Linked DNA regions of Drosophila melanogaster. The gene in region 1 interacts genetically with each later gene. Each region holds a gene or a part of one and is shown on either strand. Other genes may lie near its edges.

Region 1 (7,026 bases):
ATTTATAAATCTATTACTGTCTTAAAAGTGTAGTCTTGTGACTACAACTTGTACTAGGATAACACCATAAATTTTAACTGTTCAAAAACATCACATTTAATTGTATATTTAACTGTTTAAAGAATTAATGCTTTCAACATGCGTTTGAATCGCCCTTTATCGGAATTCTGAAATGGTATATACCAAGGTTTTTGTTTAATTTGGATCAACGACTATTAAAAAGGTGTTTTGGCCAACGAACAGAGTTCCTTCTGTGTCTCATTACAATAAATTATACAAATGTGTATCCCCTTTTTTTGTATATCCGTTAATCGTGGATATACTAGTACACACTCGTAGAGGATGTAATAGATAATTTGAAAAGTATTTAACAGGTAGGAGGAAGCTTTTCCAACAAAATAGAGTACTTTTAATAAAGTCTACTACATAAGTCAATCTGACCATGTCTTTCTGTCAATATAAAGAATCTGTCTCTTTTTAATAAATGTAAGCGACTGCATACTGTTAAAAAGTTCACGTTATGTGGTTTGTAATATAATTTAAGAAGAAAAACTTTTTACGTGGTTTAGAAATAAACATTAAATATAATGAACATAATACAAAATTAAATGACAACGAGGTTTTAAAATAATCAAAATCATTAACAGACAACAATTTTATATTTTGCAAATTTACCTCAGCAAGTCTGTCGAAACGTGCAAAGAGCTCGTTAAGCATTTTTACCAAATCTTGCGCACTATATGTGGAGGAGATGGCGGTAAAGCCAACGATATCCGCATATAGAATGCTTGTTTGAACAAAAAAAAAATAGGAAAAATATTTTGAAATTTATTTGCAGAGGCAGTGTAAGTAAAATAGAGATTAAATAAAATACTGACACATTTGAGAACACACACAATGAGAATTAAGAGCTTAGGAAATGTAAAGTTCATATTGAGGAGCGTGAAATACTTTCGATGAATGAGCTTTGCGAGAATATAAAAACGTTGTGATATATTTGATTAAAATAAAATTTGGTGGTAATGGACATATAGTATTGTTTTATATTAGCGACAATGAACAGGTTCTAAGCGTTTTTTATCAAGTTAAGAAAATTCTGTTTTATGTACATTTGTATGTATATTTGAAATATTAAAACGAATAACTAAGAATTTTTTATTTTTACAGCTTGAAGAGTCAATCGATTTAATGCTTACCTTACATTCTCGTGCCGACTCATGTAAATTTTTTTAAAAGCCTCGGAACTGGATGATCCCAAATCTTCCCGCATCTTAATAGCCACATGCTTTGGCAGCACAGACAATAGCAGACGCTCCTAATAGGGGCAAATTTTATATTTCATATCCACGGTCAGTAAAACAGAATGCAAACCTGTTCGGCCGACTGTTCCTCTATGACCATTTTAACTTCAAGGCTCTTTTTGGCCTCGAGAAAGGCTCGTTTCTGCTTGGCCTCACCCATAAAGTAGTACAAAAGGCCTATCAGCGCTGCCGTGGCTATCAAAACTGCATTAGCCGCTAATTGGTTCGAGAGCAGCGAGTCCCAGTGAGAATAACCAACAGGGAGACTGAGGCAAATGAAATATGTGATACATCCAATCGACAGACCAAGAAAAATCAGCTGTAATGGCAGCGTCACATAGACCAAGAAATTTAGAAGGATGGCCCAGCCAAGTAGGTCCCTGAAAGCGATGAAGAAATTGAAAGCACACATGAATTGCTTCTTGCCCTTTGTATAATTGCAAAATACACTTTGTGGAGTCCTCCAGTATTTATCATTTTAATTGTAATAGCTTACCTTGGAGAAAAACTAGGCTGCAGAATAACATAAACGGTAAAATGAAGAATGCTTAATAGCCACAGTGCCCGTGGCACAATAATCAGGAGTATTTGGTGGAAGCGCCTCAGTGCCGGTTTATCAGAACGGCGTCCAATATGAAGGAGCGCTGTCAATGCCAAGTAAGCTAACAGCATACAACAGTTGATCACTAGAATATGGAATAACATGAAATTATTTGATATAACTTATTTTAATTATTGTAAAAAAAACACTTATGCTTAGTTCCAACTTGTTGGTTCTTATAGTTACCGAGATCTCGATGTTCATACGGACAGAGAGACGAACCGACTCTATTAAACAAAAAAGTACGCAGTATCATTCTGGGCGTAAACAATATTTAAATTAAAATCAAGAGAGTACGTGAATGTTGGCAGATTGACGATTTTTCATTTTATACCTAAATAAGTACTCTGTCCATCCAAGCTTATAACTGAAGCTGAAGAAAATTTATTTTTGGACATATATAAAAATGAATAAAATAAATTGATAAATTGATTCCAACAGGAAATTACACGACTGTAATCATTTAAAAAGTTATTCTTATAAATATACATTGTCAGATATGAGGTATAAGTTATGTACACATCCATCCGACAAGGTCTTTAACGCGATACTAATTTCTTTAAACAATTTATTTCTATTCATAGCTCACCTCTCGTAGGGGCCGACTGATCCCAGGGAATTCCGATGGTCCATATGTTAAACAACGCGGCCGCAAAGACAAACCACTTCAATCCACTGCGGCGTTGTTTGATGGAGTAGTTGTGGTAGAGTTCGTTAAGCACGTGCTGCGGCAAAATGACGACTCCCCCACCGGTGATTCCCACGCCTCCGGCCACATCGCTGTCGTTTTGCCGCCGTCGAGATGTTGTTTGACGCTGCGAATGCGATTTGCTTGTCGAGGCGATCGTTTTCTGACCGTTCTCCAAATTTGCTTCCATCTCGTTTGTCTAACTTCTAGGATGTTATTCGTTGTTCGGAGAGCTTATTTCGTATTTGTGGTTTAGTAATAAAGCGACACCATGTCCTTGGTTTATTTGTTTGTAATGTGACAAGAACATAAAATAGTTCACTTGTCTGAATCGAAGCACTGCAAGGCAAAATCGAAATACAGGGACAAAGTATAAGCAAGTAATCTTGACACTTATCGGTGCATCCTCCGTCCACTCAAATTAAATGCACTGCGGAAGCGTCCTTGAGAGAGAGAGAGCGGTGAATATTCTCATATGTACAACTGTTAGAGCACGAAAGTGTGTGCTTACCTGCATATGGCTGTACCGCACATTTATTGCCGTAATGGAACTGTTCAATGACAACATAAAAAACAAAAACATTATAAATATCAAATGTTGCCTAACCACTACAGATAAGTTGGTTATCATATTGAAATTGTTCTGTTAAAACTCGTGATCCTTTTTTGCAGCATTCGACACCATAGTAGACCACGGTAACTGTAATCAGAAAATTTCGTCCGCTCTCTCGCTGCTCTCTACCCCACCGCTGCCTCTTTCTCTTCATATGACTACCTCTTCATTTCCCCATTGAGAAATATTCGACTGACAAACTAAGTAACACACACCTCTCGTCCCTTTTCTTGTGGAAAATCACTTTCTTGTCTAGGTATGCGCGTACATGTGTTTCTCCTCTTTGTGTGAGTTAGGCTCAGTTTCTCAAGGCTTGTTTAAATGCTCTATTTGATTTCATTTGTATAACAGCTCGCGAGCGTGTGTACCCTCTGCCTATTGCAACAAACCCTCGTTTGCTTTAAATTTGTATCCCAGTAACTAACAGCTCCAGCATATAAGTCCAAGATATTTGGAAGTTATTGATAACCGTCCGCCTTGATTACTTCCTTAACATACGTTTGCTATGCTGGTTATTTGCTTTTTCGATGTGTTAAATTTTTTCTGCTAGCAAGTTTGCACGCAAGACACCGAGCAATATCCTTCGACTAAACTAAGCCGCCCCGATAAACTTGACTGATTGTCGATTTCAGCCTCACCAGCAAGGACCTCCGTTATTTCATGTTTAAACGCTCAGAGGTCGAACGAGAGCAAGCTTTTTCGGCTGAAAGCTCGTTTTTGCGCATGCGATCGAAGCAATGCACTGATAACGGTACAGCTGGGCTATCCTGATAAGAGTCCCTTTGCACAATAGCGTATTCAGAATATTACCGGAAGAGCATAAAGTTAATTAAATCTCATTAAGGTCTCCCGCCAATAGGCAACCACTGACCGATGAAGAAAACGTCATGAATGCAGCTGACCTTAAAATGAGTGCAGCTGCTATTTGACAGCGCCTGTGTGAGTGTGTCGGGGTGGACTGCACTATGGGAAACCTAACCACTTTTTCTGGCCAAAATTAATAACTTCAGAACGGAGAAATTTATTAGGAAAAAATTCGACAAAATTTAAAAATTGTTCAAAAGTGTGGACGTGGCCGGTTTCGCGGCTTTAAAAATGCTTATGTATGGCAATTTATATTTTTATCGAATTTTGGGTTGAACATTTTTTTTGCTTTTGCCACTCACTTACTCATAATGCAAGCCACACTGATTAAATGCCTTACAGAATGTAAATAACGCTTCAGAAAAAAATTGGTTAATTTTTCATAGTAGAGTTCTGTTGCATTTATTGATGTCCACTAAACATAGTATACAAACATGAGTAAGAGATATTTACGTTATACTTTTTATACATTAGTAAGTAATTTGGGGACCAAAGAATTTTATTCAGAATAAAAAAAAGGCATTTCCAAGTCTATTTTTCTAAATGTTATTTTTTAAATACCACAAATTATGAATTTAGTAAATAGATCCGTTGATTTTTTTCCTTAAAAAAATCTACTGATTTCAAATCAAAGCCCGCCTCAACGATGTAAAAAAACTAGTAACGATGACACCTTTACTGCTCTGAAATCATCTTTTGTGATGAAAATATAATTTTGTTCTGTTCAAGAATATAGGTATCTTCATTGATATGTACGTGCTTATCTACGTATATAATTCTTTGCTGCGAACTTAGACATTAGAGCATAACTGATTTGAATTCAATCTTTTTTGTGCGTTCAAGGGGATTTCAAAATGGTTGAGAATATTAACCTTAGACCAGTAGTGCCCAATTTCCTGCGTCGCGGAAAAATCTGTTTTCTTTAATTATTGGTCGATATATCGCCTTAGAATATCGTGTCGAAAGTTTCAAAAGCTAATTCTCGAAATTTTGGGAGATGCCCTTCGGATTTCGGAAGTCATACTTTCCTTGACGGCAATCTTTAAACCATGTTTGGTTCTATATGAAGTAAAGACTTTTCAATACAAACGAATGCCTCGTTCCTATAATTATATTTTAGAAACAAGAAACAACCCCAAAGCAAGGCTAAATGGAATAAACCCAAAATTTTACAGACGATGAAATCGAAAACCCGAAACAAATCACCCACCTGTAAAGCAAACATCCGTTGTCCAATTTTATTAAATCAGCATGTTTTCACGTTCCAAGCCGACACTCACAAGCTCGAAAGCAAAAGTTTGAATTTCAATAAATAAAATCTTAAAAATCTAATAGCGCTTGTATCCAAGAGCGAATGCACTTCACTCCAAAAGCCAAAGACACTAGATTATTCTAGTGTCTTTGCAAAAGCCCATTAAAATTTTACAGCCCAAAGTCCATATTAAAAAAGCTCGAGACCGAGGATTGATCGTCAATCAATATAGATCAATAAGTGGAGTTTAGCATGAGACCTAAAATTAAATGTTGACTTATGAAAATTGAAAACTTGTAATTATATGTATGTATAATAGCGTCTATGTTCTTCGGCAATGGAATCTCAGTCCTAGTGTATTGTTTTCCTTGCCAATAGCCTAAAATATTGTAAAATTTTAGTGAAGCAGAAAATTTACCAGCTGCCTGGTAGCGCACTCTAATTCTTTTTTCTATTATACCGATCAAGGGACGCAGACAAGGCCACTATACATATGTATGTATGTACGTACTTATGCGTGCATATCTGACTACCTGAAAATGTTTTCAGAGGGGTGAGGATTATTTCCGTCGGTTTTATGTGTTTGATTACATACATATGACATATCTTTAAGATATTATTTTTAAGATCTTGTAGACTGTGTAATTTACAAGGAAATTGATTGATGTAATTTAATAAAAAGCTTGAATTTTTTAAAAATGACGATATGTGTATATATATATATATGAACATACATGTTTGTGTGTTTGTTTATTTAATTTTTAGGAGTACCGGATCAAAAAAAAAACTTAGAATTGGGAAGGTGTATTACACGAAAAATCACTCAGGTCAATGAGAAAAACAAGGATAGGAATGCATTTGAATATTTTACCTGCTATATTTGTGTAGCCGCTAAATAATAGTTAAAAGGTGGCAGCCCTTTTTAGGGGACCGTTATTTTGAAATATTTGTCACTGCTATATTTCATCTCTTTAATATATTAAAATAAAATTGTAAAAATCTATCAGCATAAGCTAACTCCGAATTAAATAGAGAACGGGTGATAACGATAACAAACAAAGATATGTTTTCCGGAGGCGGAACTATCGCAAGCGGACTACCGACGTCTACCAACACTACAGGGCGGCGCTTTAAAAGCCGGTCCGACGCTCACCGCTCTCTCATTCGGCGTTTTTCTTTGTGACTGTGTGGACGTTCTTAATTGTACGGCAAAATCTCCAGCAACCAAGCTACTTTCTTAGCAAAGCTACTAAAGAGGAAACTATATTGATAAAATTTCGTTCTTTTAAAATCTTTGTGCTGATATTTAAGGCGTGCTTGGTGATCCAAAAACCCTCAGTTACAACGTGTTTTCTCGCTTCGCGTTTGAAAAGTAATATCTAACAGTAATTCAAAATGGCTGATGTGGCTGAGCAAAAGAAGTGAGTACTTTGCTTGCCTTGTTTTCGGACGTTTGTGGATTTTGTTTAAGCAATGGACTTGTAGCGAATTTTGCTAATGAAAATCTATGTTATTTGCCGAAAAGATTTGGAAATTTTCTTTTGAATTCTGTGTCTATATACGCAAACCGCTTGTTGGCACTAATGTAGTTGTCTCGTTCCCGCCAAAGGCAAAACGGTGTGCGCGCAAAAACCGACGCCGTTTAATTTGGCGCGGCGTCATGGTGCCTTCTCGCTCTTTCTCCGGCCGGCAAACAGCAACGATGAA
Region 2 (9,542 bases), on another chromosome or scaffold:
GCTGCTAGATAAGTAATTCAGATTGGTTGCACTTGCAATTAGAAAATCCTTTGTGCCGCCCTAATTGGCACAAACACAAATGCAAGCCAACATTAATGAGCTGCCGCGACACGGAATATGACCAAAAGATTTAGTTTAAAGTGCACTTTTGATCCGAGTGTAGTATTTATAACTAACAAGTGCCGTTACTTGCCTATTATTAAGTGACCCAATTGTAAAGGTAATAATGTTTTAAAAACATTCGCAGTTCACAATAATTACAATTGGTTTGTGGTTATCACTTAGGCGCGCTCGAAAGTTTATTTCTTTATTCGAAACTAAAACTTAATTAAGCCCAATTTAATTGGGCCTACACACACGCAACGCACTGTACTTGCTATGGCAACTCTATGGCTAAAGAAACCCCGCAGTGAAAAGTCTTTTGGCTTGTCAAATAGCGCGAAAACTTTTCAAATAGCGTCGCTAGCCGCCAAAACCAAGACCAACCAGTTTTTCGTGCACCTCCACCCGCTTGCCACACGCTTTTCCGTCCCCCACCCTCACCACTTTGCCCACTAGCCTTTTGTTAGCGAGCATTGGCCCATTCAATGCATTTCGTCTCTCTGAATGGCGGCTCTTGAGATTCATTTTCTTTCATTTTCCCCATAATTATGGCAAAGAAATATACGGGGAAAAAAACACGCTTCAACGCCTGCAGATGAATTTCCCCGGGCTTTGCGATTTTTCCCGGCCTACCGAAAAAGAAAAACACCAAGTCTTGAAAATTTGAAAAAAAAAAAAACAAAAAACAAAAAACTTCGACTGCACTTGGGCCGATGAAAATGTTAAAACAATCGATCGGCAAAAGGGGCACGCCCATTATTTGGGGCTCAATCAACCCAATTTTCAAGTCGAGCGACGTCAGCTGAAATTACTTTATAATCTTGTTGATTGCTGATTGCACTTATTGCACATTTAAAGCTCCGTCCACTAACGAATTTAAGTTCACATAAATCCTGATTGCCTGTCACTATCCACTATGAGTATCCACCCATCAAGTGGAATTGACAAGCTATTTGGGGCATTGCAATGCGTGTTAAATAATTGAATTGCTGAGTGTTCAATAAGAAAGTTGATTAATTATTCAAACGGCCCAGCATGTTTGGGTTTCCAAATTGTAAACAATCGAGTCCAGAGCTCGTTCAATTATCGGCCTGAAAATGGATTGCTCAAGTCAAAAAAAAAAATATATGCCAAGGGCGTAATAAATATAAAAATGTGCTTATGTAATATGCAAGAACATTTTGATTAACAAGCCTCTTCTCGATTGCCAACTACCAACTACCAATAATATTTGTAAGCTCTACTCTGTACACACTTTACACACAAACAAATTGCAGTTGAACAAACCACTTTCCTCAATGTAATTAAATTTTAGTTACTTTCTGTTTCTGACTGGTGCTAACTTTAAATTGCACAAGTATTTAAAGGGGTCCCTTAATCCCTCAACCCCATAACCCGCACGCTGCAACTGCTGCCAAGTGACCCAAATCAGGGTCTGTTGTCTGCTTGGAGATGCCGAATCGCGGCATCCAGCATCCATCCAGTTGGTTATCCAATCCAATCCAAGCCAAGCCAAGCCAAGCCAAACCAAACCGTTTCCAATCCCTGGCCCCGCCACTGGCTTTTCAGTCGCTTTGGAGGGGATTTTGCGCTTAGTTAGCTTAATTACGAGCGCGAGCTGAGAATCGGTTCGCTGCGGCGATAAGCATCGATTGGTAAATAAGCAGCGAATTCAAGGCTCCCGAAAGGCTTAATATCTTAATTACTTAATTATATATTTTAAATATATATATATATATACATATACCGTATATATCGTTGATTTTTTGCGCTGTGGGAGTGCTTAGTCGCAAAGTTTTTGCTAATGCTGCACTTCGTCTGACGCTGGCGCTTATGCAACCAAAATACATATTGAGCAGTACAAAGCCAGTGGAATGCCCCCAGGGATGCGGAAATGCGGAAATGCAGAGATGGATAGCTGAGGGGGGGGAGGGAGGTGGGTGAGCGTGTGGGTGGAGCATAGCCTGCATGCATGCATTCGTGTGCAGCGACTACTGGCGAAATTGAAATTCTTATGAAATTATATAAAATGCACTCAAAGGCATTTTTGGGGCAGCTTAGCAACACAAGCAACACAAGCAACACAAGCAACATGGGCAACATGAGCAAAATGTGCAACTTTGGCCACTTTGGACGACCGTCCTCCGCATGGCTTGTTTACGCAATTCCGGAAGTGAAAAAACCAAAAAAAGAAAAAGAAATAAAAGTTGAGGCAAAAAAAAGCGAATGGCAACGTGTTTCCTGTGCCATTCCGCCGCCATTTGCTGCTGCTGCTGCTGCTGCTGCAACGCAACCAAGACAGGAAGAAATCATAATTTGTCGTGTGCGATTGTCATTGAAGTAATTTACATTCCGTTTAGCCTTGGCCATAAATTGCGCAGAGGAAAATATGTGATGCCGTCATTAAAATATGAAATCTTGTTTTTCACAAAACGTGCCACTAAATGATAAACAAGCTGTTGTTTTTCATTGGGAATTACTCCATCTCATTTGTGCAATGATAAAAGCATTACATTTTCGAGTCTGCACGATCGTATCATCAGTTGTTTGCAGGACCTTGAGTTCTTCATACAAAGTTTTAGCTGCTCATTTTTAATCTGTTCCTTGTGCAGAGATTACACTTCTCCGAAAAGAGCCGACACGTAAATTGGAAAAGGGTTAGTGCAACTGTTGTTGCAATTACAATTCATCACATAGCCCGTAGTTCCTCTTCCTGCTGCACAGAAAGAAATTGGTATGTGGCGATCGTTGCAATGCCATGCAATTCAATGCCCAATTCAAAAATATTTGAAATGTGTAAACAACTCACTTGTTTTCTTTTCTGCGTGCATGTGGTGCTCCTGGCCATTTGCCATTTCGCCAGGCATAATCCCGACAATCGGTGCGATGTGGGTGATACGAGTGCGAATGCGAATGCGAATGCCAATGATATGTGTATTGTATGTATGTGCATACATATGGCGTCGTAGCGTGTGGGCGTGATGTTTGCACTCCGGTGCAGCGGGACTATAAATAAGCCGGGTATTTATTAGGGGCAATCATAAACTGCGTTAACGACGGGCACTCTGCCAACGAGAATAAGATCCGGTAAACAAAGGCACCGGTCGACGTACGTCTCATTGTGCGATAAGCTTTCAATTAAATCTGACCCGGATAACGGGGCGCATGGGTGCGGGAAATCGGAAATCGGAAACGAAAACGAAAACGGAAGCGGAAATCGAAATCGAAATGGAAAGAGATCAATTTTCAATTGCAGCCAATGCATGCATGTCCATGGGTCCAATGCTAATATCGAAAGACAAAGCTCCGTGTTCTGGAGGTCGTGTTCGCCATGCAGACTCATTGGTTGGTTGGGTTTAACTCGTACAAAGTTTGATGGGTTTGGGATTGTTTTTTTTTTTTTTTTAGAACGATATAACTCGATATAATGCTGGTGCGTAAATAACAACGATGTTCATTGTTCGCTTTGCAGCACATTTACTATGCGGTCGATGGCAAAATGACCCTCCTGTCGAACATTCTCGACTGCGGAGGCTGTATTTCCGCCCAGCGCTTCACCCGCCTGCTGCGCCAGTCCGGCTCATCAGGACCATCCCCATCTGCACCGACGGCCGGAACATTTGAATCAAAATCCATGCTGGAGCCAACATCCTCGCACAGCCTGGCGACCGGACGCGTGCCACTACTGCACGATTTCGATGCCTCGACAACGGAATCGCCGGGAACGTATGTCCTCGACGGTGTCGCCAGGGTGGCCCAATTGGCCCTGGAGCCCACCGTCATGGACGCACTGCCCGATTCGGACACGGAACAGGTTCTCGGTAATCTCAACAGCAGCGCGCCCTGGAATCTAACGCTTGCGTCGGCAGCGGCCACCAATTTCGAGAACTGCTCGGCGCTTTTTGTCAATTACACCCTACCACAAACAGGTACCTAAAGCCTAATAACTTTTAAATCATATTGCAGTATTTTTTTTTTTTTTTTTGTTGCCGGGATAGGACTCTACTGCAATTGGACCTGGGACACATTGCTCTGCTGGCCACCCACTCCGGCTGGAGTCCTTGCACGGATGAATTGTCCTGGCGGCTTTCATGGCGTAGATACGCGCAGTAAGTAACTGAAATACACTCTAAAAAAAAAGCAGCCGAAAAAGAACATGCTGAGTACAATTAGCATAATTAATCGTTGAAGCTGTTTAGCTGTTTAGCAGCCACAAGAAGCTTTATGACTTCTGCCGGCTTATTAGGAGTCAAAAGACATGTCCTACGGTGTTTATCCCATCCACACGGCATATCTGGCGGTCACAATCATACGGATCATTAGCTGGGAAACGGTTCAAGTGGTGCACGGCAAACAATTACTTGATTCCGTATTCATCGAAAGGATGTCAATATTTACATGCATGACTGGGGGCGTCCAATCAACCGCACTCCCAGTCGGGGCCGCCCCTCCTTGGCTTCCATCGCCGGGGGCTGTCCAGGTGTTTCATGTGCACCCTCGAGCTCCGCCAGTTGAACAGGGTTTAAAACACCAGCCAATCGATTGCTTAATTACGATCCTAAATGCTTGCTCTACCCCTCCGATAAATTAAACGTTCTGCAATGGGGAATTGCTATTTAATAACCATGGGCGATATACACTGAGCGAAAAGATTCTAAGTAGCTGACTTACCACCCAATATTTTACAAACTTAAAATGCTCTTCCATTATCACTAGTGAATGTATTATCTGCGCTTGTGGTGCAAAATCTAGGCATATCGAACTATATCTGTTAAGAAATAATTATTCGAGTGCATTGTTGAGCTACGGCCTCATTTCTCCGGGCCGTGTCTAGATTTTTAGCCCCAATATTTTCAACTGGACGAGGTCGGTCGCCCATTCGATTGGCATAATTGCACTTGTCAGTCAGTGTGTCAAAGCTCGATTACTGTCATTAATCCAACCCAACCTCCCTCTTTTTCGGTTCGCAGAATTCGCCATCCGAAAGTGTGAGCTGGATGGTCGATGGGGCAGCAGGCCAAATGCCACGGAGGTGAATCCGCCGGGATGGACGGACTACGGGCCGTGTTACAAGCCGGAGATTATCCGTCTCATGCAGCAGATGGGCAGCAAGGACTTCGATGTGAGTTGAATTCTTTCCACACTACATCATAATACCTGTTTCAGTTATAGTTAAGAGCATTGCTTAAATGCCAACCAAAATCCCAAATCAAGGGTATGGTTTTGAAATTACCTAATAGGGTTCCAAGTTTTTTAGACACCCTAAAAAGTGATTTCAAAGGCCTGATTACATTTGTTGATAGTGGTTTATAGTAGTAGTTTTAATTCCATTTCTTCCAACTGGTTTGCGATATCCCTTAGGCCTACATAGACATTGCCAGGAGGACTCGAACCCTGGAGATCGTGGGCCTCTGCCTCTCCCTGTTCGCCCTTATAGTTTCCCTGCTGATCTTCTGCACATTTCGCTCGCTGCGAAACAATCGCACCAAGATCCACAAGAATCTTTTCGTCGCCATGGTGCTGCAGGTGATCATTCGCCTGACCTTGTATCTCGACCAATTCCGGCGGGGAAACAAGGAGGCGGCCACCAACACGAGTCTCTCTGTCATTGAGAACACGGTAGGCTTAATATTCCCGCATAAGGATAAGGTATAAGGCTTATGTTCGATATTATATGTTATGTTCTACAGCCCTATTTGTGCGAAGCATCCTATGTACTTCTGGAGTACGCTCGTACCGCCATGTTCATGTGGATGTTCATCGAGGGCCTTTACCTGCACAACATGGTCACCGTGGCCGTTTTCCAGGGCAGCTTTCCCCTCAAGTTCTTCTCGCGACTCGGCTGGTGTGTGCCCATTCTGATGACCACCGTGTGGGCGAGATGCACGGTCATGTATATGGACACCTCGCTGGGCGAATGCTTGTGGAACTATAATCTCACGCCCTACTACTGGATCCTCGAGGGGCCACGACTAGCGGTCATACTGGTGGGTAATATCAACTGTTGATCGCTTTAATCACCTATTCACCCAACTGAAAACATCCGCATGCAGCTAAACTTCTGTTTCCTGGTGAACATTATCCGAGTGCTGGTAATGAAGCTGCGTCAATCGCAGGCCAGCGATATAGAACAGACTCGCAAGGCAGTTAGAGCGGCTATAGTCCTACTACCACTTTTGGGTATAACCAATCTCCTGCACCAGCTGGCTCCTCTGAAAACGGCCACGAACTTCGCGGTCTGGTCGTATGGCACCCACTTTCTCACCTCGTTTCAGGGATTTTTTATAGCGCTAATTTACTGCTTTCTAAATGGCGAGGTAAGACATCAAGTCACTCAGTTGTCCATTTGCCTAAAACCCTCACTATTTCCAACCAAAATATATATTTTTTAGGTTCGTGCCGTGCTACTAAAGAGTCTGGCCACCCAGCTGTCGGTGCGAGGTCATCCGGAATGGGCGCCGAAAAGGGCATCTATGTACTCGGGTGCTTATAACACGGCGCCGGATACGGATGCAGTGCAGCCTGCAGGAGATCCATCGGCCACTGGAAAGCGGTAAGCATCCGCTTTGTGCACACCCCACCTTGAAACTCCTTACATCAATTTAAAACTCCCAGAATATCACCGCCGAATAAAAGGCTGAATGGAAGAAAGCCGAGCAGTGCCAGCATTGTGATGATTCACGAGCCTCAACAGCGCCAGCGACTGATGCCCCGGCTGCAAAACAAGGCGCGGGAAAAGGGCAAGGACCGGGTGGAGAAGACGGATGCGGAAGCGGAGCCGGATCCGACCATCTCCCACATTCACAGCAAGGAGGCGGGCAGCGCGAGATCGCGAACTCGCGGCTCCAAGTGGATAATGGGCATCTGCTTCCGGGGTCAAAAGGTACTAAGAGTACCGTCAGCGTCATCCGTGCCACCCGAGTCAGTTGTATTTGAGTTGTCAGAGCAGTAGACCAAAACCTAGCCTAACTAATAGATGTAGCCATAGCCGTAGCCAAATAGCCGTAGAAGTAGCCAACGCCATGTAGCCCACCACCACAGTAGCCAGCACCCACACAATCGGACCGGAAATGATCCCAAAGATAACCCAGAACCCGACTATTCCTGCATCTCCCATCGACCCACCAAGCAAGCCAGCTGGAAACAGCACATATGTAAAATACCCCAACAAAATATCGCAGTTCTTATACCCAAGATCATTTTGAACAGAAAGTAAGCTCATTGTTTTGTAATTCAAATTAAACCAATAGACATTTAATTTAAATAGTTATTTTCGCTTGCCTTCGGTTCTTGCTCCACTGTACTTATGTAAATACATACATACCTTTATTTGTGTAAGCCATATCCAAACCCTTTCCAAAATCTAGAAATCTCCTATCCTTTCGAAATCGGCTAATCCTACGAAAATTCAAATTTCCCTACAAGTTTTACAAAATATTTTTGATGACAATAAATTTCCAATAGCGTCACCTTCTGTTCTGGACACGCAAATACATTCAAAAACACTCGCACACGGTTCTTACTCGATGAATTTTTCAGCAAAACTTCAGCGGCATGTTCTTTTACTTCTACTATTCATATTTAAATATTAGATTGAAATATTTAAGTGAATTAACACAAACTTGCGGTAACTGCGCAGTGTGGCCAGGCTTTGTGAGCCATTAGAACTTATTACATAACATAATTGAAAAGTGACATTGTTTAAAGGAACTCACCTTTAATCAACTGTTGAACTTGCTGTTCATCGGATTCCGTTATTAAGTTTTAAGATTTGGGTTTACTTGTATTTACATTTTCTTTACCACTTTGATTAGCTTACACTTTCCGTTCCTGAGCTGGTCACACTGCCAGCTACAATCGATCACGTTCACTGCAACTGCCTTGAATTTTGCTAGCTGCGCTTTGTTGTGCAACAAAAACTTTGCCACAATCGATATTTAACTAATGGGGTCCATAATCGGAGACACATAAATGCAATAAATATCTTTTCGGCTATTCTCTCCTCCTTGTTTCCCACTCAAAATGCGGCTCTCTTGGCGGACTCTTCTCGTTTTCGTTTTCTTTTTCTTCTTTCTCGCCTTTCGTTCGCAGGACAAATGTGTGATGCCGGGCTCGCAAAAGACGCAGCAAATATTCATGACGTCGCAAATGCCGCCGACGTCGACGCTTGCAGCGGTAGCAACAACAATTACCACAACATCAACAACAACAACGGCAGCCAAAACAACAATAGCATCCATTGCAACCATCGCGACGATGACAAAGTCAAAGGCGAAAGCCAAAGCGATTTCAAAGAGCCATCAAATACAAATGCCGAAAGCCTAGTGCATCTCGCTCTCTTTACCGCTCACACCAGCAACACTCAGAACAACACACACCGAAACACAATATTCACGCCCATCCGCAGGCGCAACTGTTCTTAAACTAAAACTAAAATGCCGCGAAGTATGCTCTCTTTGCAAGAAGCGAGTTCGATAAGTCGGATATCGATCGATACACGACACACACACACGCATACATACATATATCCTATATTTTTGTATATTTACCAACAGCAGTTGGGCCACAGTTTTTTTTGCACATGTGTAAGAAGTGCGCTGATGAATGTAACTGTTAATCTTTTTTTTTCTAAATAAGCTCAATATACATACATAGATGTAACGGTATTTACAAGAGCATAGATAAAGCATACATATTTACATACCTGTTATTTACACGGATGCAAGCAGCAGAAAAATGTCGGAGAGTAGTTCGTACATATAATACGAGTATATACATATGTACATAGATATGTATGTATACCACATATAACGAGAGTACAAAGCACATGGAATGGTAACGAGGAACAAACAGAAACAAACGGATTGAAGGAATCACGATGTCACATCATCTGATCTGCGATCAGTGCGAATGTCGAATATTCATCACCCTAGCTTTAAGCTTACAATGCATTTTAAATGGAATATCTTGTGTGTGGAATCGTGTTTGTTTTCATTTAGTTTTGGTTTCCTACTCGCTTCACGCTATTTCGAAACTAAGAATTCAAGCCGAATTTAAAAAGAGAGGAACCTAAGAACCAGAACCCCAGTGGTCGTCAATGTCAAACTATTACGTGTATAAGGCTAGATGGAAAATGAATAAACATGATTTTATATGCATACATCTAAACTGCACTCGGCTATCGTCTACGTTCTTCATCTGGATTTGGGATCGGACTCGGGCTCGGGATCCATTAGGTTTGCCTAATTTTTTTTTTTTGGATAGGCACGTGCCGCTCGTGAATCCCCCAATTGGCATGGCTAAATTGGCAATTTCATCCCATAAGCAGCTTAATCCGATGATTTGATGGATCATCAAATGAATATTTGATGAATGAATGAATACCGTATGACCCGTATGAATAATACGGGTCAGATAGTGTGTGGGATAGTATTCAACAC

Evidence for each region. A genetic interaction does not mean that the proteins touch.
Region 2: of Ac3 (region 1) and Pdfr, changing one suppresses a phenotype caused by changing the other (phenotypic suppression), as found in Drosophila melanogaster (one study listed by BioGRID).

Annotation. Positions count from the first base shown.
Region 1 is NT_033779.5:21,629,381-21,636,406, reverse strand, and holds the start of Ac3 (adenylate cyclase 3), read right to left. Parts: upstream 3,821-7,026; 5' UTR 3,702-3,820; intron 3,142-3,701; 5' UTR 3,102-3,141; intron 3,034-3,101; 5' UTR 2,781-3,033; coding exon 2,492-2,780; intron 1,988-2,491; coding exon 1,798-1,987; intron 1,682-1,797; coding exon 1,372-1,681; intron 1,316-1,371; coding exon 1,197-1,315; intron 788-1,196; coding exon 676-787; intron 1-675. Other genes in the region: Df31 (decondensation factor 31), read left to right, coding at 6,715-6,740.
Region 2 is NC_004354.4:2,569,400-2,578,941, forward strand, and holds Pdfr (Pigment-dispersing factor receptor), read left to right. Parts: upstream 1-2,806; 5' UTR 2,807-3,267; coding exon 3,268-3,447; intron 3,448-3,574; coding exon 3,575-4,031; intron 4,032-4,100; coding exon 4,101-4,211; intron 4,212-5,072; coding exon 5,073-5,224; intron 5,225-5,463; coding exon 5,464-5,721; intron 5,722-5,792; coding exon 5,793-6,089; intron 6,090-6,155; coding exon 6,156-6,419; intron 6,420-6,494; coding exon 6,495-6,655; intron 6,656-6,717; coding exon 6,718-7,054; 3' UTR 7,055-7,606; downstream 7,607-9,542. UniProt on the Drosophila melanogaster protein: Receptor for PDF, a neuropeptide controlling circadian behavioral rhythms. Probably regulates circadian behavioral rhythms through coordination of activities of clock neurons. PDF-binding results in the elevation of cAMP synthesis.